Linked DNA regions of Arabidopsis thaliana. The protein of the gene in region 1 interacts with the protein of each later gene in a biochemical or structural test. Each region holds a gene or a part of one and is shown on either strand. Other genes may lie near its edges.

Region 1 (10,900 bases):
ATTTGCATGGGAGAATAAATATGCTGACCAATTTTTCACTAAAGTCTCAATGACCTTAGTTGTAGAAATATATATAAAACAATGTTTTTATGGTGGAAAACTTTCAGAAAAGATTCCACTCATCTCTCTTTCTCACCATAGTTGATGCATCCACATTTGAGCCAACAAGCCAATAGCATTAGATTCATAAAGAAAAAAACTTAAACGTACGTACAAATATGCAATAAACAAATTAGTGATCATTGATCAATAACCATCATTTTTATAACAAAAAGTGGTTTTTCACATATCTATGAATAACCCCATCGATAAATAATTTGTGCTCTTGATGTTTCGGGACTTATAATATGAATGTAATTAAGGATATTATAGATTCTTCTCAATAGAGTTTCAATATGGATGGAAACTCCTAACAATTACCTTTCATGGTCTCTTTCTATCTCTATATCTCTTCCTTTGTGCTCTTATAAAACGAAAGCAATAAGTATATGAAATCCATGCTTCTTTACTGATGTATGCATAGAAGACTAATATATATATATATATATATGAAGATATATAAAGAGTGATGAAAGGGGAGAATAAAAAATTGTTGGTGAGTGTGAATGTTCTTGGAAGTGTTGGCCCTATAAGGTTTTTGGCCAATGAAGACGATGAAGTTTCAAGTGTTATTAACACAACCTTGAAAGCCTATGCTCGTCAAGGGAGGATCCCGGTTCTAGGGTTCGAAGTGGATAACCTCAATTTCTATTCCATTAACGCCGGATTCAGTAGTATTTTCCATCCACCACTATTTAGTTTGTTCTCTTAGAATCACCTAAATTCTAGATTAATCTTGACCCGCTTATAAAAAATCGCATTAGTTGTTTAACGTTGTGTGTACAAATTTTGGTATAAAATTCTAAATCGAAAGTAATTTGATATTTGTTTATCATTTTTTTGGTGTTAGAATTGAATACACACAAGAGAAGATAGGATCAATGGATGTAACGAATTCCTTGTTGTGCATGAAAGAGCCAAGACCATTGGAAAAAGTCCAAAGAAAAATAGAGAGTAAAGCATCAATCTTTTGGAGGGACCATGCATCACCACTGGATCAAACAACACTTGGTTACTATCCATGATCTTTGCATATAAATAAGGAAGCCTATCCTCAAAGGTAAGGAAATATACAATATAATATCCATCTTTTTCAAGTAGTTTGACCCTAAAAATGACATTACATCCTTTTTCACCACTCTTGTTCAAAATTTCAATGAGTACTGTATCCATAGTGATTTGCATTATTTCCACCCATAGTTTGGCTATATACTTTTAATTAATCCACGTTTATATATGTTAGTGAAACATAGCTTATATATGTTTTACTATTTTCTAAATTCTAGTTGCTATTATTGATCTTTTGCATGGGAGAATAAATATGTTGACCTATTCGTTCACTAAAGTCTCCATTATGATTTATGCACATTAGTTGTAAATAATATAAAAAGGTTTTAGTGGTGGAATAGTTTCAGAAGAGATTCCACACATCTCTCCACCATAGGTGATATGCTTAGCTTCTTCATTTGAGCCAACAAGCTCTAATAGCATTAGATCCTCCAAATTTTCTATCGTACACTAAACTTACTAGTGACCAATAACCATTAATTTATTAACAAATTTAGACCCGCTTTAGTGGTTCTTAACATATCTATGATTATCAATAACCCCACAAAACTAAAATTCGTAGCCTTGATAGAAAATCTCTCTAACCTATTGTGTCGAGACTTATATATGCATGTAAGCATATATATTATAGGGTTATTCTCATATAGTCTCAATGGATGGAACTCCTAACACTTACCTTTCATGTTGTCTTCTCTTCCTTTAATTTATGCATCTATAAAACGGAAGCAGTAAGCAAGTAAGTTTCATTCTTCTTTAATGGTCTATACAAAGAAAAAGGATGAATAGAAATGAGAATGTAAAAGGAGTGATGAAAAGGAAGAATAAAAAGTTATTGGTGAGTGTGAATGTTCTTGGAAGTGTTGGTCCTATAAGGTTTTTGGCCAACGAAGACGATGAAGTTTCAAGTGCTATTAACACAACTTTGAAAGCCTATGCTCGTCAAGGCAGGATCCCGGTTCTAGGGTTTGATGTCGACAACTTCATTTTCTACTCCATTAATGCCGGATTCAACAGTATTCTACTCCACTCTTGCTTGTTCTCTCGGAGTCCGTGAATTCTAGATTAGTCTTGAGATCGGTTCAAGATTTACATGGCTAAAACAGAAAATCACCAAAACAATTTGCATCCTTAACCTTGTGTGTACAAAATATTGTATAAAGTACTCATTGAGCGTAATTTGATTTGACTGTTTACATTTTTGGTGTTAGCTTTGCATCCACAAGAGAAGATAGGTTCAATGGATGTAACAAATTTCTTGATGTGCAAGAAAGAGCCACGGCCACTGGAGAAAGTCGAAGGTATAAGAGAGAGTAGAGCTCGGATAGGCCATGGATGGAAAACTACTCATCTTCTTCGGTTTTTATTAGGATATATTCCTTACAATCACAAACCTAACTCTACAAGTCAAATGGACTATAGATCATTCGGTGATGGGAACGCTTATTGTATAGAGGAGTACCAACAAGAGTTTCAAAGGATTACCAAAATAAAGGAATACCAACGAGAGTTTCAAAGGTTCTAGTCTTCTAGAATAAATTTGGGATGGAAGCAAAATGCATTGGTCGACAGCCTTTCGAGATATACTTTACAATTCAATTGTGGACAATGATGGGATTATACAAAATATTTGAAAAACTACATTCTAAAGATCTCTATACATTTTGGTTTATACTAGTTCTGAAATCTAAATCTAAATCTAAACAGAATTTGACCGCCAATTTACCATGTACTAGAGACATTTTGCAAGAAAACTTGATCCATGAACTTACTTGACTAAGATTAAGAACAACTAATGGACGGTATCTTCGAATATATGAATACTAGTAAAGTCGTTTGCAAAATATTCAATTCAAAACAAATGTCTCTAAGTTGTACATGGTAAAATGGCAATCAAATTCTATTTGAATTTCATAATTTTGAATGGGAAAAATCTTGAAAAAAACTCTAACTAATTTTTATTTGGACGTTTAATACTCAATTGTTTTTAGTTGGAAGAAAATTACACGAAGTTATAAAACTGTACAATTTAATACTCACGATCTCACCACAAAAATAAAATTCTAATTTTATCCTTACCATCTTAATTAACTATTAATTTTTTAGATTATATGATATTAATTTTATAATTTTGGATAAAATTTATTTTTTAAAATTTTTTATTTTATGGCGTCTAAAAATTTTAAATGTCATTTTTAACTAGAATTATTTTATTTTAAAATTTAACATAAAAATTAGGAGAAAATCACAAATATTTTTTAAAAAGATCTTTAGAATGTAGTTTTCATGATTATATTCTAAAGATCTCTATATATTTTCGTCTCTATACTAATTATGAAATTCAAATAGAATTTGACTGCCAATTTACCATGTACTAGAGACATTCTAAGTTTTTGCAAGAAAAGTTGATCTATGGACCATATCTTCGAATTTATCCCTACATTATTAAAAGGGAAGTACAAATTGAAATTTTGTCTAAATTTGGCTTCAATTTTGATTTCAATTTTGGATTTTGTTCTTTGCTATTCAAAATCATTAAGAGTAATTTGGTATTAACAATCTCCTAAACTTTATATGATCCGATTCAATCTAAACCGTTCAATAAAATTAATTCCCTTCAATCTAAACCGTTTAACAAAATAAAGAATTTATGTCGTTTTTGAAATCAAAATATGATCACATTCCATCCCTAAAACACTATACTCAATCACAAAATCAATAATCGATAATATCCAAATCATATATTACGATTCTTCACTAATCACTAGATATTTATATTTATAAATTTAAAATATCAAATTTATTCAAATATTTAGTATAAAAACCAAATCTACCGATTGCCCGCGATTGCCCGCGGGTTAAATTCTAGTGTATACTAGTAAAGTCGTTTGCAAAATATTCATTTCAAAACAATGGTCTCTAGTACATCGTAAATTGGCAATCAAATTCTATTTGAATTTCGAAATTTCGATAGAGACGAAAATAACCTTCTAAGTGTTCTATAATTACGAAATTGTCCTTACCCTAGACTTAAACCCCATATTTTCTTCCTCCATCCCTTCTCTGCTAAATTCTGTCTGATCTAAAAAATCAACGAACACAAAACTCATCAAAGCTCCTCAAAACCCTAAACACAGTCTCTCCATCTTCTTCAATCTCTCTCTCGTTCGGATTCTCATCTCTTCTTCTGGTAATTTCTTCTTCTTCTTCTTCTATCTTCTTGCGAACCATTCGTGCTCTTGAACCATCTTACTTGATTAATTTCGTTCTATTCTCATCTGCTTGCACGCAATTATTAGTTTTCGTTTCAATAACTATGACTAGGTTAATATAGGATATAGATCTAGGGTTTCAATCGATGTTATGTTTGATTTGAGAACTATAGATTTCCCTCGTAAGTGATCTAGGGTTTATCTGATTAGCTCTCAATCTGATTGGATTGATTTGTTTCTCATGAGCCTTTGTGTTTTTCTACACTGGGTAGCTCTAAAATTGCAATTTTGATTGAAATTTATTGTTTGGGTCATTAAGCTAGTGCTTGTTTGAGTTAGAAGATAAGCCAGTTTTATGATTATGATATGTTTTTCTTGTTCATGTTTTTGGTGGTAACTAAACACTCCTTCTCTAATTTATGCAGGTTTCAGATTGAGTCTTGTTACTGTGTTTCATAAGACTATTGAAGTTAAGATGTCTGGAGCATTGAATATGACTCTTGATGAGATTGTTAAGAGGGGTAAAACTGCAAGGTCTGGGGGAAGAGGGATTTCTCGTGGGCGTGGTCGTGGACGTGGTGGTGGTGGAAGAGGAGCTGGACCTGCTAGAAGAGGTCCTCTTGCTGTGAATGCTCGTCCATCATCTTTCACCATTAACAAGGCAAGCTCAAAATCTGGGATCTTCTATGTGTATGATTTGGAAATCTGAGTTTCTGTGAAGCATTTACTTCATCATACTATATCTAAACGATGGGAGAAGCAGGTTTTCCTGTCCATGCGGAAAGCCTTACTTCTGATGATAGTTTGACATTCTTTAGCATTGAGAACATCGCCTAGGAACATGCTTCTTTCTAGTTCATGGAGATGTTTTCATTTAGGAATGCCTCTTACCCCTGCAGTTTCAGTGTACTTTGTGGTTTATGTTGTTAATTGTGAGGACTTTGGCAGACAAGTTATTGGTTGCTTTTGCGACAGTACTTAGAACCTGAGGAGCTTCAGTAAGATGAAGATCAAAATTTGTTCTTCCAGTACAATTAGACATGTTGTGCATTTCCGTCACACAGTTTCAAATCCTCAAAAGATGTGTGGTGTTGTAGTAAATATAGTGACTTACCCTCCTAACCCCTACACAGTCTTAACTGTATCATGCATGAAGTTATTGATGAACGTCCTGCTGCATTTGGAATTTCTTCAGCATGCTATGAGCGTCGGTTTTTCTTTTATCATCATAGCCTTGGTACAAAGAATTTGTTTTGGAACCGGAGCATAGTCGGTCAAACTCATTGTTCCTCCATTTCATTTGGTTTTCTCATTGGGTGGTTCTTGACTACTCGGTGGAGCTCTTTGCTTTGACTGGGTTTCCCTCTTCCAGGCATATGGGTGGTCACTTCTTTGGAATTGTTTTTCATTGACGCTGTTTTTGAAGTTCGACAGACATCTTGTACTGAAATGATTCTGTTCTATTGAATAGCCTGTCCGTAGGGTCAGGAGCTTGCCATGGCAAAGCGGTTTGTTTGAAGATGGCCTAAGAGCTGCCGGGGCATCAGGAGTTGAAGTTGGAACCAGGCTCCATGTTACAAATCTGGACCAGGGTGTGACAAATGAAGATATAAGGGTATAATCAGACTTCTATAATTTGTGCATTTGGTTTCTTAGAGGGGAGCCAGACACTAAAATGTATCTTCATGGGATCTAGGAACTCTTCTCTGAGATTGGGGAGGTAGAGCGTTATGCGATTCATTATGACAAAAATGGGCGTCCAAGTGTAAGTCCTCACAAATCTTTATCAGTCCCATTCTCTTCATGATTTTGAAAAAGTTTTATCTTGTATGCTCTTTCTAACAGGGATTTTGTTTTGTGCCATGTAACTATAGGGCACAGCTGAAGTGGTGTATCCAAGAAGAAGTGATGCATTTCAAGCTCTGAAGAAATATAACAATGTGCTATTGGATGGAAGGCCAATGAGACTTGAGATTTTGGGTGGCAACAATTCTTCCGAGGCTCCTTTATCTGGTCGTGTGAATGTGAATGTCACTGGACTCAATGGAAGGCTGAAGAGGACGGTTGTTATCCAGTATGAATTTCTGTCTTTTCTTTTTGTTTTCTCAGTAATCGCATGAATAACTGTTGTGAGACTAAATCCAAGACTTACACAATCTTCTCTGATGCTTGTAGACAAGGAGGAGGAGGGAGAGGAAGAGTTAGAGGTGGGAGAGGAGGAAGAGGTCCAGCTCCTACTGTCAGTCGCCGCCTTCCAATGTAAGTATAAATCTGTTTCTCTTAATTCGTTTAGCGGAGAACCGAACTGAGATTTGTCAACTGCATTCCATATTAAACTGCATGGTCACAAAAGTTTTGTTCCTATTTTTGTGTAACCAAACCGAATAAATCAAAATTCGTAGTTAATTGATTTTCGTTTGTTTCGGTTAATGTTTTAATTTGCACTTGTTTTCTCTTGGTGGCAGTCATAACCAGCAGGGAGGAGGGATGAGAGGAGGAAGAGGCGGGTTTCGTGCTAGAGGGCGTGGTAATGGTGGCCGTGGTCGTGGTGGTGGAAGAGGAAATGGAAAGAAGCCAGTGGAGAAGTCAGCTGCTGATCTTGACAAAGATCTTGAGAGCTATCACGCTGATGCCATGAACACCTCTTAAATCGTGTTGTGTTGTTCTTACTAAACTAGTTTCAGATGAAATCATGCTTCTCTTTTTTTCATGCTCTTCGTTGGTTTTGTTGGATGTTGATTGTAAAGTAAATGGAAGCCTTTTAGAATCTAGCTGTCTTAAATTTTCTTTTATATAAAGAGTGATTTAAAGTTACCAAGTGAACTGTTTTAAGATCGGTTTTACTCATCAAATTCAGAAGTCTAGAGAGAATTAGGTTTTACATTGTAATGAAAAAAGTGAGTCTGATTGTGAACAAAAATTTCTCAGACCAATTTAACCGGATTATAGACATTCTCACACATCCATAAAGCCTAGAAAATTTACAAAACTGAGTTAAAGAAAAAAAAAACACACACCATTGAATCACAACCATCAACCTGACGCAAGCCTATCTACCTTTCAGGAACAACGTTATCGTTGAGAACGAATTCTCCTGAATTGCTTCGATGGAAAAGCTTGTCCACAACTTCATCCCAATTCTTCTTCTTTGTTTTCAACTCCGCGGATGCTTCTCCATTGTTGCATTCTTCTTCTTCTTCCGCGGTGGACACTGCGTGTGGGATATTAAGACTCACGGCTCTCTCCAACGCATCTTTGTGCTCTTTCTCTAAAGTACTTAACCTCTCCATTCTCTTCTCTTTTGGTGCCATTGTTACCACTGTCTCTGAACTCTTCTCTCTCAATATCTGTAACCACACACCACAAAACCCACCATTTATAAAAAGAAGCCTAACTAGTCCCTTACTATTTTGTGCAAAGATAGTAAAAAAATTTGTAGCAACAACACAATTAAAGATTTTATACTCTTAACAAAATCGTCGAAAATCTAAATCTTAAATCCTGTAACCTTACTTAAGCCTTATAAACTAAATCCTAAATCCTTAGCCCTAACCATTGATCTAAAACATAAAAATGCAGAAATTAAATGTCACCTGCAATGCCTTTTCTGCTTCTCTTTCTATCCATAGAATCGCATGATCCGATGTTGCATTCGATGATAATACTATATGCTCAAATCTACCATCAACGGGAATCGCGGTTCTCACTTCGGGAGGAAACCTTCCACATCTAAATACAAAAAATAATCAGAGGAAAAACAAACAAAAATTGCTAAGAAATGCCACACTAACTTCATTATTACCTGCAAAATTTCCGCTCAACGATATGATAAATTCGACCAGGAGCATAAAGCCTTCTAGGATCTCTTAGTTTCCGACCTTCCGGTATAAATGTATCCCTCAGACAAACTAGAAACAACAAGCACGGCAAGCTGTCCGAACAACGAATACAAAATGTTGAACTATACCTATAACAAATTCATTCCAACAAGAGCATTTTCGAAGTTCGACACTTACCAGAATACAGACTTGAATATATCCTCTAATGGTGTCGCTGTTCTCGGTAAAAAATCATCCTATTATTCCACAAACACTAAGTTTTGTTAAAATTCTTAGTAAAATACCTTACTCTATAAAAATTCTCTCTATAGACAGATACCTTTCTTAACAACTAAACAACCTCCAAAACTAGTACAAAATTTAGCAGAATATTCTGACCAAACTCAAGAAGCAAAATGAAAAATTCAATTCGTCGATTCATTGTATAAAGCAAAAGCATATTCTGAACTTACGAAACAGGATTATGACAATGCTTGGTCAACAATGAACCAACCACCACCATCCAACAAGACAGTTACAAATATAATCCAAATTTTATATCAAAACTATAAATATATTCAACTCTTTACATAACCAAAAAAATTAGTTGTCAGAAATCAATCTCTAACCCCAAAAACAACTAAACCATAACACCCTTAACTTAAATACAAGTGATTTAACATTTCTAATATATTATTCTTTGTTAAAAAATCAATTTTTGTAAAAATCTTTTAACTAACATTGAGATCATTAAAACATGGTTAAATTTTTTTACCTGCAAAATGACGGAGGAGATGACGTCAGCATACTTAACGGCGAGATTAAGCGACATACATCTCGCCGGAGCCAAAGCAAAACATCGAACCTTATTCCTCGGAATATCACCAATCATCGCCGGAGTATTAACAACCAAAACCGCCATCAACGCCGCAACACCAGAACCCAAAGAATGACCAGCAAAAACCAAATCATACTCTCTACCATTCTCTTCCCAAACTCTCCAAAGAGTCTCAGATTCTTGATTCAAAACCCAAGCCGCAGATTTCAACAACCCACGATGCACATAACCACCACCAAGCATTTTCTGACCTAATTTGTTATCTAACAGAATCTTGTAATCACTCTCTTTAGCTAAGTTCAAGCCACGAATCGCTAAAACAATCTCACGGTGGTCGTGATCTATGTAGATAATGTACGGTGGAGATCTTCCTTGGGTTTTTTCGTGTGTCACACGTTTGATGACCCATTCAGGGTTTAGATCGAAAGTTCCTAACGAAGGTGAGATTTTAGGGTTTCTGAGATCGGGTTCGTAGACGGCGAGGATTACTCGGCTGATTCTTGGGATTGGTTCGAATTCTTCCGGTGTTGCTGATGTCCACGTGGCGCTATCGTCTGAGCCTACGTGTGTGCATCGTTTCCATGCCCATCTACTGAATCCTACACAGAAGACACATTCTAGTCCACAAGCTACTGACATTTTTGACCCAAAGGTGAGATTTTTTTTTTTTGAAATTAGAGATTTTTGGTTTCAGAAATCAGAGGAAAGATTGAAACTTTTTGGCTCAAAGATGAGATTAGAGAATTTGGGTTTCAGAAATCAGATGAAAGATTAAAAATTTGAGATAAAGGTGAGATTTTTAGAACTATGAATTGGTTTGAGAGAAGACAAAATTTTGACTCAAAGTTGAGATTTTTAGGAGATGGGTACAGAGAGGAGATGGAATTAGAAGACTTGGTTTTTGATTTTTTTCAGAGGAAGAGAATCTGAAATTTGAGACAAGAGAAATTGGTCAAATTTCGAGGTCGAATGGGAAATTAGAGAACTTGAGATTTGATGAATATACAGTAAAGAAAAAATATTAAAATTTGAGGAAATACATGGAAAAAAAAAAGTTGTAATAAGAGCCAAAAGGGATAAAGAAGAAGAAGAAACCAGCTAAGTATAAAGACAGATAAGCGAGATTATCTCTCTTTCTGGGTGTTTCGAGACAGAGACAGGCAAGAAGCCCAAAAAGCAAGAATTGAAGAACTTGTCCATTTTCCCATGTTTTGTAATAAAAAAACGCCCAACTTTATTCCGTTTTATTTATTTACTCCTTTTGTTATTTTTAATTAATTTTCTAAAAAAAAAATATTTAAAATATATATTAAATCTGATCATAAAGAATATTCAATTATTTTTATTGAAGTTTAAAATACATCAATAATACTGCATATAAAACCTAAAAAATTAATGTTTAAAAAACATTTTTTTTCCTACAAAAATCAAATAAAAATGAAGAGTATTAGTTTACACAAATCTTGTAAATTGTGAAAATCTTTGATCCCCTCCCATTGATTTTTTAAAAAGTGAAAATATTTTTAACTATTTTTAAGGGTATTTTAATTAATTGTTTTTGTCTGAATGAGTTATAAAAACTCTTAAGGTGTGTAAATATGTTTTGTTGATTTGTCTATAATTATTACTATAAACTGATATTAGTAAAATTGACAAATTGATATGTGTAGACAAATTGCATTGTTGGTTATGAATAATGAAAATTCAGTTCTAGTAATGTAAAATTGGTAAACTAGGAACCGGTTAAAATGGATTCTTCTCGTTCCAAGAAATGTTTATACAAAGAAAGTTTCATATAGATATTAGTGATTAAGATATCAAAATATTTGGAAGGGATAAGAACTAGGCCTGGCCCAAATAGGGTGGAG
Region 2 (13,375 bases), on another chromosome or scaffold:
TTCTCACCTCCGAAGCACTGAAGTAATCAGGAACCATGTGTAATTTTGCTTCTTGAGGATTCCATCCAAATGTCTACAAATGAAACAAAGCCAAAGTGCAACGTAAGAAAGGTAGAATGAAGAAAAATAAAAAATGAACTTTCATGTTGATATAATGAAGGTGAGACGGGGAAACTCTACATAATATATCAAATTACCAATACATGCTCACACAAATACACACAGAATCAATAGTTTACTTAGATGTATACATGTAGCTTCTATACCTCACGAGAGATGAAAATGTCTGGAAACCCGTAGTCAACAAAGGCTTGATATGAATAGTAGCTGTCATAATTCAAATTATTAGACATCAGATAAAATGATAAAAAAGTTTCAAAAGACATTTCTGTAACTAAGAGCCAAGTTCAGAATGGAAAATGATTATTCAGACTTTCGGTAACTTAATGGCATACTACAAAGTGATACAAGTCAGAAACCAGTTTCCCCTCTAGTGTTGAGAAATTGAAACTTAAAGGCTAGATTAAGAGACCACGTAATCATCAGATAGTAACAGATTGTCCTTATTAAACCCAAAAATGCTAACAAAAAACAGGACAAACCTGTCCGAAGTCACGAATAGGACAGGTAGACAGCGCTCATTCGCACCTAACGCTATTATTCTCCAAATAAGATTGTCATGGTACATTGACGCTGAGACTGTTGAATCATCAGTCTGAATAGCCCTCTTCAAGATTTCAATGTTGTTCAAGACCAGCTTAGGCTGTCAAATGAAACAAGAAATAGAGACAAACAAAAATAACATCAATAGTTGGCAAACTGTTTCCAGATGAATACATTTACTGTTTACCACTCATAAGATCAAAGATTCCATTCCATTACTTATCTATTCCATTACCTGGAAGAAGCCAATCTCTGCAGCTTGTGATAACAACTCAAGCATTAGCAACGGCCAATCAGTACATGAATTCGCTAAAGTTCTCGAAAACCCATTAGTTCGATTAAGATGAGCAATGGCATTGGCTTTCCAACCCTGGTGCACCTTAATAACCTCTTTAGCCAATCTTAACGCAAAAGCAGTCTCTCTATAATACGAAGCCTCTTCAACGGACAAGCTATTACCTTTCTCTTCCAATTCAAGCAACCCATCAATCTCATCGGCATTTTGTCGAACAGATAGGGCATACACAGCCCGTTCCCAGAGAAATGAAACCGAGACTTTCTCTGGAACAGCAATGTTATAACCCTGAAGTATACGACGAAGTGCAGTATTAAGACCATACCATTTGTTCATAGTAGTGAAAATCTGCTGCGAGCTTATACTCCCAAGTTTGATAGCTTTGTGACTCATAGATTCAAGACAATTCTCGAGCTGGGTTTTGCAATTGGACAACAACGGTGGGTCAACACTGGTCCAAGACGTCCATGGATATGATTGGTGGTGATCTGGATGGTGTTCCGTTATCGATTGCGCAAAATCTACATAGCCAGCGAGATGTGGCCCTTTGTTCCAATCTCCGAGTAGACCTAATAAGAACGAGATCGGGAACGAATCAAAGGTACGATCATTTGAACAAAATTGGGGAAATTAGGGATTCAAAGAGAGGATTTTACGGTTGAGGATCAATGTGGTTTTGCCGACGCCACGAGGACCATGGAGGATGAGAGGCTGAGGAACACGGTGGCGTTGGACATGGTTGTTGAGAACTGTTTCTAGAAGCGGCTTTGGAATTATCTTCCAATGTTTATTCACCATTTCTCTGCTTCTCCTTCTTCTTGAGCTCGATCAGTGTATGGGGTTTAAGGACACTCCCAAATCTCAGGGGAAATGTTCAATCCAAAACCATGGAGGGTTTAAGCGTTCAAGGATCTCTCGCCAACGAAGAACAAATTTCAACTCGAACCAATCTCAACCGGTTTATACAATCGAACCAATATGAACCGGTTTATACAATCTGAATCATTTATCGTCTCTTAAACCAAATAAGAAGACTATTATTCCGGTTATCAAACATTTCCAGTACTATTACAAATTTGTTAAACAAACTTATACTTTCAAACAAATTTGCTCTCATAGCTTTGTTACAACTTACAAGAACATGTAAAGCATAGTTTCTCGTATACAACAAAAATGAATACAAAAAGTTCCACCCATAGTCCAAATTTTGGTATTGAGATCAAGCTTGAGATTCACAAGAGGGATCATCCGTGGCACGAACCCGAGCCTTTGGGGATGTGAGAGCAACGGTTAGGACCAGATCCAGGGACCGTACCCTTCTGCAAGGACTCGAACACGAACCGGATATCACTATCGAAGGTGATTCTTAACATCCTCGTGGCTTCTACTTTTGTGGAGTCCAAGAAAACCACAAAAATGGCAAGCATAATCACTCCAAAGATTACTTAATTCTTCATAATCATCACTTTAACTTTGTTTCTTTGTACTAAAAAGTATTTGTAGTAAGTTCGTTTACTCTTTTGTGTCGCATTGAAAGATATGAATATGAGTTAAATATATAGAGAGGGAGGGTTTACTTTTTTTTTGTCGTCAGGGAGGGTTTACTTGGATTCTTATGGATTGACTTTTTAGTTGGAAAAAATTGGTTCTCGACATTTGAACTAGAAAATAAAGATTGAGACTGATTAAACAAGTTAACACGTAAACCGGTTTTGTCTTGGACCGCAAGATTTCTTGCTCATACGGAAGGGCGAAGAAGATCACGCGTCTCACGAATTTTTAAGCAAATAGGAGGAAAATGCACCCGGGATGTTATTACGGTCCAACTTGATTAGTGTATTCCCGGTTTGATTTTCTGACAAATTATGGTGATCAATTTCATATTTTTTTGCTTCTTGTAGTACATGTTGGATTTTTTTTGTTAGTACAATATTCTGAAAATTTTGATGGAAAATGCAATCATATAATTATAGCGAAAAAAGGCTGCAAAGCTAAAAAAAAAAAAAATCGAAACAAAAACACAACAAATAAACTAAATGAGAAATTCAACTAGCAGTTTTTCAAGAAGAAACACTGATTCTGAACGCCGAATTAAAGATGGACATTCGCGTAATTGTCACAGTTCCAAAAATCTCGAGACCTTATCGTCGTTATTACGAACAATCTCTACCCTATACCAAGCTTCTAACCTCAAAGAGACGCTAACTGCTGTTTCGAAAACTAACACAAAACATGTCGGATTTAATTTAGCAATGTAGCTCTTACGTGGTCAAAATTCTCATTTTTGTTCCAATGTAAACTAGAAATGTACAGATGTTTTCCGAAATATACAACCACCATGATTCAATCGTTCGACGGATTCTGCGAATTCGTCCATGATTTGTTGATTTTTTTTGTTAATATATTTTTCACCAATGCTATTTTCTTTTTTCTTTTTTCAATTCCCTATTGTCATTTTATAGCCATAATTTTATGTTCACATAATCTTTTCTTCCTGTCTCAAAAATATAAAACAACAAGTGATAGTAATCATCGTCTATTGCATAACGGAGGGTGCAAATTATTGATTTACTAATCTGATATCAAATTAAATCATTGAATAAATCTGATTATCAAAATAATAATTGAAAGCAATAATCTTAAAACAGACTTTTTAGGGTAAAAAAGGGAAAAAGGGTTAAACGGTAGAAACACAATCTGGAAAAGCGTCGCCGAGAAGCTTTACTCTCACCTGAAACATTCCTCAATCCGTCGTCATCATAATCATCTTCGATAGAGAAGCCATACGTATAAATAGTACTCTCGCATTGTGTAATTGTCTCTTACCGGAGAAATGGCAAGCCCACATAAGCCGTGGAGGGCGGAGTATGCAAAGTCGTCGAGGTCTTCATGTAAAACTTGCAAGTCCGTCATTAACAAGGAGAACTTTCGTCTTGGAAAGTTGGTTCAATCTACTCACTTCGATGGCATCATGCCCGTATGACTCTCTTTTCTCTCCCAGAATTTGGAACTGTCTCTGTACTATACTCTCGTGCTTGTTAGTGTGCGTTCTAATGTTTCTTTCTGATTTTGAGGACAAAATTGATTCTTTTAGAATTATTGTCAGACAAATTGGGTTTATTTGGTTGAAATTGGTTATTTTTGAGGGTTCAATCCTGTTCTCTCTGCTTCCACTGTTCTACATTCCTTGCAAATTTGTGTGTGTGTGTGTGTCAAGCTTGTTTTCTATCTCAAAATTGGAACTTTTTTAACTTCTTAAATAGATGTTAACCTTCCTCACATTATGTTCTTTCCTCCTTTTGTGCCTAATCGAATGTGATAAAAGAGCATTTGAAGCTTAAATTTGAGTCACTTGTGTGTTTATTTAGTACTTGATGATTGCCAAAAGGTTCGTGCTTTTCTGCAATGACGTATGTGAACTCCTATTATTCCCTTTGGAACTCTGACGTTATTCTGTTTGGATGATCATAATCGTTTGTTTAGCTGTGTTTTGATATCTTTATGCCGCCAATGCTATGATTGCAATCAGCTGTGTTTTTCATGAGCTTTTATGCTTGTTGTTTAATGGAATGGCAGTGGTCATTCTTCTCTTCTTCTTTTCACTATGTAGTTCCTTCTTCATGCTGCTTCACTTCACCATGTTAATTATATGTTGCTTTTAGCTCCAGTTGACATGAAGTTTTCCTAGCTGACTATCCTCTTTGTACTTTTATTTTTCTCACACAGATGTGGAACCATGCTTCTTGTATACTAAAGAAGACGAAGCAGATAAAATCGTATGTAAAACCAATGTCACTTTGAACAAATATTTAAAGTGTTTGGCTATTAACTCGTTTTTGTCTCTTGATTTTGCTAGAGTTGATGATGTTGAAGGCATAGAATCACTTCGTTGGGAAGATCAGCAAAAGATTAGAAAATATGTCGAATCTGGAGCAGGGAGTAACACAAGCACAAGCACAGGCACAAGCACGAGCAGTACCGCTAATAATGCCAAACTAGAATATGGGATTGAAGTGTCACAAACTTCTCGTGCCGGTTGCAGAAAGTGTAGCGAAAAGATCTTGAAAGGAGAGGTAAATTGTTGTTCTACTTCATCTGTCATGGTTGTAGCGTTTTATATGAACTGGTTCGATATGCATTAGGGTTTTGTTTTGCATTTTTGTTTTCCAGGTACGTATATTCTCCAAGCCTGAAGGCCCGGGTAACAAAGGTTTGATGTGGCATCACGCTAAATGTTTCCTTGAAATGTCTTCCTCTACTGAACTGGAAAGTTTGTCTGGATGGAGAAGTATACCAGACTCAGACCAAGAAGCTCTTCTTCCCTTAGTGAAGAAAGCTCTGCCGGCAGCCAAAACTGGTAAGAGTCTTAAGGTGTACGGTAATATATTGATTTCCTTGTTACAGGATCCTGATTTGCAGTACTTTAGTCTGATCTTTCCGTTAATTTATTTTGGCCCAACTGGGACAGAGACAGCAGAAGCACGTCAAACAAATTCAAGAGCAGGCACAAAACGAAAAAATGATTCTGTTGATAACGAGAAGTCGAAACTAGCAAAAAGTAGTTTTGACATGTCTACAAGTGGTGCTTTACAACCTTGTAGCAAAGAAAAGGAAATGGAGGCCCAAACTAAGGAATTGTGGGACCTGAAGGATGATCTGAAAAAATATGTAACATCAGCTGAGTTGCGGGAAATGCTTGAAGTAAATGAACAAAGTACAAGAGGATCTGAACTTGATCTGCGTGATAAATGGTAAATTACTTTGCGAATCTGTCTGGAAGTTAATTGCTTGTCTTTTGTTCTATTTCTGTTACTGTTGTGTGGATCTTCTTAAAGGTAATTTGGATTAGAGAAACCGATGCATAATCATATGCCTAACCTCTCTATTTGTTTCTATTTAGTGCTGATGGCATGATGTTTGGCCCACTCGCTCTCTGCCCAATGTGCTCTGGGCATCTTTCTTTCTCCGGAGGACTTTACCGATGCCATGGATACATCTCAGAATGGAGCAAATGTTCTCATTCCACTTTGGATCCAGACCGCATCAAAGGGAAGTGGAAAATCCCTGACGAAACAGAAAATCAATTCCTTCTGAAGGTAAACCAGTCTTTTTGTAGAGTTGATATTGGTATGGGTTAGGTTAGATGTGGTATATATTACTCATGAAGTTAATATTTATATTTTGATTACTTGCAGTGGAATAAGTCTCAAAAGAGTGTGAAGCCAAAACGTATTCTGCGTCCTGTATTGTCTGGCGAGACATCTCAGGGTCAAGGTTCTAAAGATGCAACTGACTCCTCAAGGAGTGAAAGGCTAGCAGATCTTAAAGTTTCAATTGCTGGAAATACTAAGGAAAGGGTATGTTCTTCTGTCAAAAATTATATTGTAGACTATCTTTGCACTTCATTGCTTGATGGGATCATTTTGCAGCAACCATGGAAGAAGAGAATTGAGGAAGCTGGTGCAGAGTTTCATGCTAATGTTAAAAAAGGTATGGATAACTCGAGTGTCTATTTTTGATTATTGTGACACTAGTTTTAGCTTTTGAATATCTCTGTTTCACAAATTTGTAGGTACAAGCTGTTTGGTTGTTTGTGGACTGACAGATATCAGAGACGCTGAAATGAGAAAGGCAAGGTAGAATATTGCCTTCATTGTGCTGATACTCTTTAACTTTGTCACACTATTTTTTCTCACTTTGAACGCTGGAGTTGATAAATGTGTGGCAGGAGGATGAAAGTGGCAATCGTGAGAGAGGATTATTTGGTTGATTGTTTTAAAAAACAGAGGAAACTTCCATTTGACAAGTACAAAATTGAAGACACTAGTGAGAGCCTTGTCACTGTTAAAGTAAAAGGACGAAGCGCTGTGCATGAAGCGTCTGGCCTCCAAGAGCACTGTCACATTCTTGAAGATGGGAACAGTATCTATAACACAACTCTGAGCATGTCTGATCTCTCTACCGGTATCAATAGTTATTACATACTCCAGATAATCCAAGAAGATAAAGGTTCAGATTGTTACGTATTTCGTAAATGGGGCCGAGTTGGAAATGAAAAGATTGGTGGTAACAAAGTGGAGGAAATGTCAAAGTCTGATGCGGTTCACGAATTCAAACGTCTATTTCTTGAAAAAACCGGAAACACATGGGAATCTTGGGAACAAAAAACGAATTTCCAGAAACAACCTGGAAAATTTCTCCCGTTGGACATTGTAAGCATCCATATGACTATATCTTTGTCTCTTAAGATTCTCTTATGTATCGTTCAATAAACTCTTTTGTATCGTTTGTTTTAGGATTATGGAGTTAATAAGCAAGTAGCCAAAAAAGAGCCATTTCAGACCAGTAGCAACCTTGCTCCATCATTAATAGAATTGATGAAGATGCTTTTTGATGTGGAAACTTACAGGTTAGAAACTTATTTGCCATTGTCTTCTTCTCCTCTTCTCTCCCTAGAAACTGTATGAAGTAACCTAATAATTACTTCCGCAGATCTGCAATGATGGAGTTCGAGATAAATATGTCAGAGATGCCACTTGGGAAGCTCAGCAAACATAATATACAGAAGGGTAACTCCTACTTCTCTAGTTTACTTTTTTATATGATAAAAATAATAAAATGTTAATTCTACATTACATTCTATTATGTTTTTTCTTGTTTGTTCTTCTAAAGGTTTTGAGGCATTGACGGAGATACAGAGGCTATTGACTGAAAGCGACCCCCAGCCTACTATGAAAGAAAGCTTGCTTGTTGATGCTAGTAACAGATTTTTTACCATGATCCCTTCTATTCATCCTCATATTATCCGAGATGAAGATGACTTTAAGTCAAAGGTACTTGCCATAGAACATGAACCATGGTGTTGTTTTTTAATTCCTAGCCTCTTTTTCTGTGTTACAAAGAGGTATTGTATCTGTGTGTCACAGGTGAAAATGCTCGAGGCTCTGCAGGATATCGAAATAGCTTCAAGAATAGTTGGCTTTGATGTTGATAGCACCGAATCTCTTGATGATAAGTATAAGAAGCTGCATTGCGATATCTCACCACTTCCTCATGATAGCGAAGATTATCGATTAATCGAGAAGTATCTTAACACAACTCATGCCCCAACGCATACAGTGAGTTCAAGCTCTGTTTATCCCTTTTCATGTTTTGTTTATCATAATTTTCTAATTCAATTTCTGGTCACTGGATTTGTCAGGAGTGGAGTCTTGAGCTAGAGGAAGTTTTTGCTCTTGAAAGAGAAGGAGAGTTTGATAAATATGCTCCCCACAGAGAAAAACTTGGCAATAAGATGCTCCTATGGCATGGTAAGCCAACTGCAACCAGCCACATTTACATGCTTTGGGAAACAGATACAAGAAATTTCATTGTTTGGTTGATTCTATATATTTGGCTGGTTGATCATCAAAACCCTTGGTTTAACCAAAATAAATCTGCTTTCAGGTTCTCGATTAACGAATTTTGTTGGAATATTGAACCAAGGACTGAGAATTGCACCTCCAGAAGCTCCTGCTACTGGTTACATGGTCAGTACTCTATCTGTGTCTTATTTGTGGGGATCTTATCAATTGAGAGTTCTTCACTATCTAGTTAACTTGTTAGAGAATCTGAACTTTTTTTAAACCCCATGTTTCAGTTTGGAAAAGGGATATACTTTGCTGACCTTGTCAGTAAAAGTGCTCAGTACTGCTACACTTGTAAGAAAAATCCGGTGGGTCTAATGCTTCTGAGTGAAGTTGCATTGGGAGAAATACATGAGCTAACAAAAGCTAAGGTGAGCCCATATTACAGTTTTTCAGGTTATGCTACTAACCATTTGGTTCTTATCTTGAAAACTATATGAACAACTTAAGATATTACTTACCTTCATATATGACTTTCTCTTATGTCCTCAATTCTTTAGTATATGGATAAACCTCCGAGAGGGAAACACTCGACCAAAGGGCTCGGCAAGAAAGTGCCTCAAGATTCCGAGTTTGCCAAGTGGAGAGGTGATGTGACTGTTCCCTGTGGAAAACCTGTTTCATCAAAGGTCAAGGCTTCTGAGCTTATGTACAATGAGTATATCGTCTACGATACAGCCCAGGTAACTTGTGTTTCCAAAATAATCTTCCTTGTTCCTTACAACAATGGGATATTGCGCACACACTAAAGTCCTCTTTTGTTCTTATCGGGTACTTGGGAATGAGAACTGAATTCCCTAGAAAGCTCATGCTTTAGAATACGGCTTTAGCTATTAGTTTTGCAACATATTCTGTGTTTGATTCTTTTATGGTGTGTACATGTCTGACAAAGATTGCTTTGTCTCTGAACAGGTGAAGTTGCAGTTCTTGTTGAAAGTAAGGTTTAAGCACAAGAGATGAGCCTGAACCAAACAAGAAGACGTCACTTCTGTTAACTAAATGTTTTTTTGGGAAATCGAATCCAACACGAAGACTTAACTTTTGTAACTAAATGTCTTTTGATAAATCGAATCCAACATGTAGTCACAGATTTAACTCTCTGGCGTTGTAGATGTTTCTGGTTTTAAAACAGCGTACACTACATTTTGTTATGCTTTTTCTCAGTAATGACACTTCTTAAGACTTGACACTTGTTCAGATCTGATGTTGTACCTATGAAAGATCATCGAAGAAGTGGTTATTCTCAAAGAGAAAATGGTTGCATGATTCGATCTCTACTATGAAAAATGTCGAAAAGTCGATACAATAGAAAGATTGTAAGGTTCCATCTCTGACAAAGTAGTCACTTGTACTCAAACAGACCAAGGAAAATTGACCTCCTGGTAGTAATTAAGTGATTCATTTGAGCTACAAGGAGACTCATTATGATCCATGGACCGCTCATTGTCGCGTGTAGTACCACTCATTGGGTCGAAGTCTGAGTCCAAGATTCCTTGGTGAAACCAATTGTGAAGATCTTGTGGCATTTGTTGAGCAAGAACCTTTTCTTGTTGCTTCATATTACAACCAGGATCATCTTGAGGGAACCTTCTCGAAGCTTCTTCTCTAAGTAGAACCACTTGTGCTTGTAAACTAACAACCTTAAGAACAAAGTCAGTGAAGTTACTTGTAAGTACACTAGAGATGATGAAGCAAAAGCAAAAAAAAATTATGTATACATTTCCGAAGAAAAAGTATAATACCTGTTGTTGGAGGGAGAAGATTTGGGAGACGCAGCCGTAAATAGGATCATGGAGACGAGAGTGAGCCTCGTAAGAGATGGTTCGTACGGCGTCACATCGGTCATGATCAGGGAGATGAGAAATGAGCTTAGAGAAGTTGCTAGCTCCAAACACTTTGTGAATGGCTGCAAAATTAGAAGATCCTTCTTCGTAGCAAAAGTATGGTGCAAATACACAACCCTCTACACATTTCCTACGCAAGAACTTGCATCCTCCACATGGTGAGCCTAAACCTCCCATTCTCAAAACGTAATTATAATCTATTGATATTAACCAACTATTACTATCTTGTAGGAATATTAATACTTCATTACTTATACTCTTCTAGTGACGATTATATAGTGCACGAGTGTTTATGGTAAAGGACTAAGGTGGGATTTATGATAACTCAACTTGTTATTTTACATATTTGTCTCTCTAATGGCTTACAATTACAAGATTGCAGCTTTTATATTTTCCCTCAAGTTTATATTGTAAAACATCTCTCTAATATTCAATAACTCGTTGTAATATATTATTGAGATTAAACTCTTAAGGTGGAGAATATTCTTAAGAAAATATTGAGAGAACCATATTAATATTAAGATCCGATCAAATGAGAGATTTGGTTGACGTATAGGACAAAACAATGAGTAAACATGAACCAAACCCAAGTTGCTTTTTGTTGTGGTTTTAGCTTTTTTTTAATTCATAACTAATTTACTCTCTTATTTTATTTAGAAAAATAAATTAGAGTTTACTTTTAGTGTTTGTTTAGTTGAAAATTTACATGTACTTGTGAAATTATGTTAAGATTGTTGTCATTATTGCTTAATTTGGAAAACAATAGTTTAAGATTTAACAATGCTCAACATATACACCACATAAGTGATTGAGATGTGTGTAGAATAAGAACAAAGGCATTTGATATTAGTAGTATATGAGACAAGTTATTTCTATATCTCGATTTAAATATTTTAAAATGCTCTCAGTTTCGATCAAACTTTACAGACTAGAAAAATAGAGAGACCCATGATTATCCAGCCCACATATTAATCATGAATCATGATTAACATCAAAAATATTCCAAAATAATTGATCAAGTACAAAAGTTAAATTATTCGATAATAATGAACAACTGATAGTGGATTTATGACTTAATGTTGGTTTAGTGGAGATTAAAAATAGTAAGAAAAATTTGAGTTTGAAGCTTTATTTTTGTTTTCTTATCTATGTTAAGGATTTCGGGTGTCTTTAGATATCCTAACTTGTGCCTAGAGTTTGCGGAAAAGACGGAGTTTTGGTCAAAGAAGGACCGGGGAACAAAGAAATAACAGAACCAGTACGGCCATGGGATCGGTCTCACCAATGACTGATCTAGGACTCCTCAAACAACCCTCATAAGCCACATTGGCCGTGCCCATCAGTCAAATGCAGATCCAATATCCCTGGAGCCAACTAAATAACCCGCATCGATCAACCATCATGGTCATAGAGCCACCGATCTAGCCAACCAAACCATCCGACCAGTAGCTACATCGTTCTGCCATATCGGTCATATTTTTTTATCGATCCTAATCACAACCCATCTGATCCAGAAGCTGCATTGATCCCAACATCGGCCAATGAAACCCAAACATTATACTTACCCTTTGCAAATCCTATTCTACTGGGAAAATAATATAGTGCTCATCTTTTAATTGATGAAACCCGAACATTGCATTTTGAGAAATAGTATGCAGTCGCAAAAGCAAAAGCAAAAGCATATTCAAATGTAGAAAGAAAATATAACATCCTTGTAATTCTTTAACTAATTAGCAATCTTCAATGATTCACATCATTTTCAACAGAGTATGAAGGAGTTAACATTGCAATGAATCTGCAAATTACTTGTACATATACATAACGCCCAACCAGGGTTAGATAGGAGAAGAGACCAAAACAACAAATGTGTGTTCTTCCATGATCTATTAAAAAGCTTCAATATATAGTAACGTGAAAAAACCTGATTGATTAGTCAACGGCTTTAGAATCATTAGAAGAAGATGCCTCACCAGATTCGGAGTGTTCATGGTTATGATCACAGTGATGGTTGTTATCATCTTCTTCTTCACTGTCATCCTCATCAAAAGGCTTCTGTTTATGAAAGATGCAACACTTCTTCGAACTCTTCTTCTGCATAAACTCATTGTCTACAGTCCCATCTTTCCATGAAACTTTCTTCTTCTTCCGGTTCAACCGAAGCACTAATCTTTCAGTAGGTTGTGATTGAGAAACAGGGTTTTCTAATATGACAGAAGTTGTTGCTGAAGAGGAAGGCCTTGTTGCTGTGCTCATAGCTGAAGATTAGCTTTCAAAATCTGCATAAAAGACTAATTTCATAAGGTACCAAAATACAAGAACAGAGAATAAAAGTTCTTAATAGTAACAACTAACAACATGCTTAAGAATGACAAGAGCTAAAGATAAAAACTAAGACCTTAAACAAAATCGTAAAACAGAACAAAGCCTTTAGGGTTCATTCTTTAGGTAAACAAACCAAACAGATGCTATTTCTCTAACCCTAAATTCATTGCCTACGAGATCTGAACCCTAATCATTCCTAATTCCAGGGGATAAACACAAATCGGTGATATGAAATTGAGAATCAAATGTTGCAGTAAACAATAGAGAGACCTAGTTTCGATCGTAGAAACAATAGCGAAACCTAAACCTAGGGGAAAAAAAGATTCAAAGAATCAAATCGACGAAGAAGCAAACCTGTGAATCCCCAAGGAGGAAGGGACGCTTGTTGAATCGAGAAACTTTTTTTTTTTTTCGTTTTGTTTTTTTTTTCTTTCGCCGATGGAGAAATTTAGTCGCTCCAACCAAAAAAAAAAAAAAAAAAAAAATTCGGTCTAATTTTATATTTATTTTCTAAGAAATGTTAATATATATATTAGAAAAAAGACTAATACAGTGTAATTAATTTTGAGAAAACTATAATGTTAACTTATTTGGGATTCGAAAACTGAATATATAGAATGACTTTATAAGTTACTCATACTCATAGTGAGGTTTAGTTCAGATTTTTACATGGATGGATTTGATTAAATCCAATTATGTATATTTAAGTATTTAACTAATGCAGAATTTAGATCTTATTTTTTTTTTTGCTTATTATTATGCTGGGCCGCCCCTAAGACAGGGCCAAGGAAAATAGAAAATGATCTGGTCATAAAAAATTGGGCTATAAGAGTAAAATAAAACAC

The links.
Region 2: the proteins of ALY4 (region 1) and PARP1 form a complex in vitro, tested with the Arabidopsis thaliana proteins (one study listed by BioGRID).

What each region holds. Positions count from the first base shown.
Region 1 is NC_003076.8:14,977,930-14,988,829, reverse strand, and holds ALY4 (ALWAYS EARLY 4), read left to right. Parts: upstream 1-4,177; 5' UTR 4,178-4,354; intron 4,355-4,801; 5' UTR 4,802-4,851; coding exon 4,852-5,037; intron 5,038-5,847; coding exon 5,848-5,991; intron 5,992-6,072; coding exon 6,073-6,141; intron 6,142-6,250; coding exon 6,251-6,450; intron 6,451-6,551; coding exon 6,552-6,635; intron 6,636-6,841; coding exon 6,842-7,025; 3' UTR 7,026-7,211; downstream 7,212-10,900. Other genes in the region: AT5G37730 (uncharacterized protein), read left to right, coding at 1,946-2,180, 2,376-2,689; AT5G37710 (alpha/beta-Hydrolases superfamily protein), read right to left, coding at 7,430-7,723, 7,970-8,105, 8,179-8,307, 8,393-8,451, 8,970-9,671; AT5G37715 (uncharacterized protein), read left to right, coding at 9,385-9,408, 9,727-9,807. UniProt on the Arabidopsis thaliana protein: Export adapter involved in nuclear export of spliced and unspliced mRNA. Plays a role in disease resistance. Mediates multiple defense responses triggered by NEP1, including stomatal closure, hypersensitive cell death (HCD) and defense-related gene expression.
Region 2 is NC_003071.7:13,349,995-13,363,369, reverse strand, and holds PARP1 (poly(ADP-ribose) polymerase 2), read left to right. Parts: upstream 1-3,619; 5' UTR 3,620-3,791; coding exon 3,792-3,935; intron 3,936-4,684; coding exon 4,685-4,734; intron 4,735-4,814; coding exon 4,815-5,031; intron 5,032-5,128; coding exon 5,129-5,315; intron 5,316-5,426; coding exon 5,427-5,709; intron 5,710-5,858; coding exon 5,859-6,054; intron 6,055-6,153; coding exon 6,154-6,315; intron 6,316-6,387; coding exon 6,388-6,448; intron 6,449-6,530; coding exon 6,531-6,594; intron 6,595-6,686; coding exon 6,687-7,170; intron 7,171-7,254; coding exon 7,255-7,367; intron 7,368-7,450; coding exon 7,451-7,527; intron 7,528-7,630; coding exon 7,631-7,791; intron 7,792-7,884; coding exon 7,885-8,076; intron 8,077-8,159; coding exon 8,160-8,268; intron 8,269-8,404; coding exon 8,405-8,487; intron 8,488-8,597; coding exon 8,598-8,735; intron 8,736-8,864; coding exon 8,865-9,047; intron 9,048-9,276; coding exon 9,277-9,324; 3' UTR 9,325-9,622; and 1 more. Other genes in the region: emb1381 (embryo defective 1381), read right to left, coding at 8-73, 267-327, 603-763, 899-1,527, 1,615-1,756; AT2G31335 (uncharacterized protein), read right to left, coding at 2,203-2,385; LBD14 (LOB domain-containing protein 14), read right to left, coding at 9,717-10,004, 10,107-10,385; INH3 (inhibitor-3), read right to left, coding at 12,138-12,461. UniProt on the Arabidopsis thaliana protein: Involved in the base excision repair (BER) pathway, by catalyzing the poly(ADP-ribosyl)ation of a limited number of acceptor proteins involved in chromatin architecture and in DNA metabolism.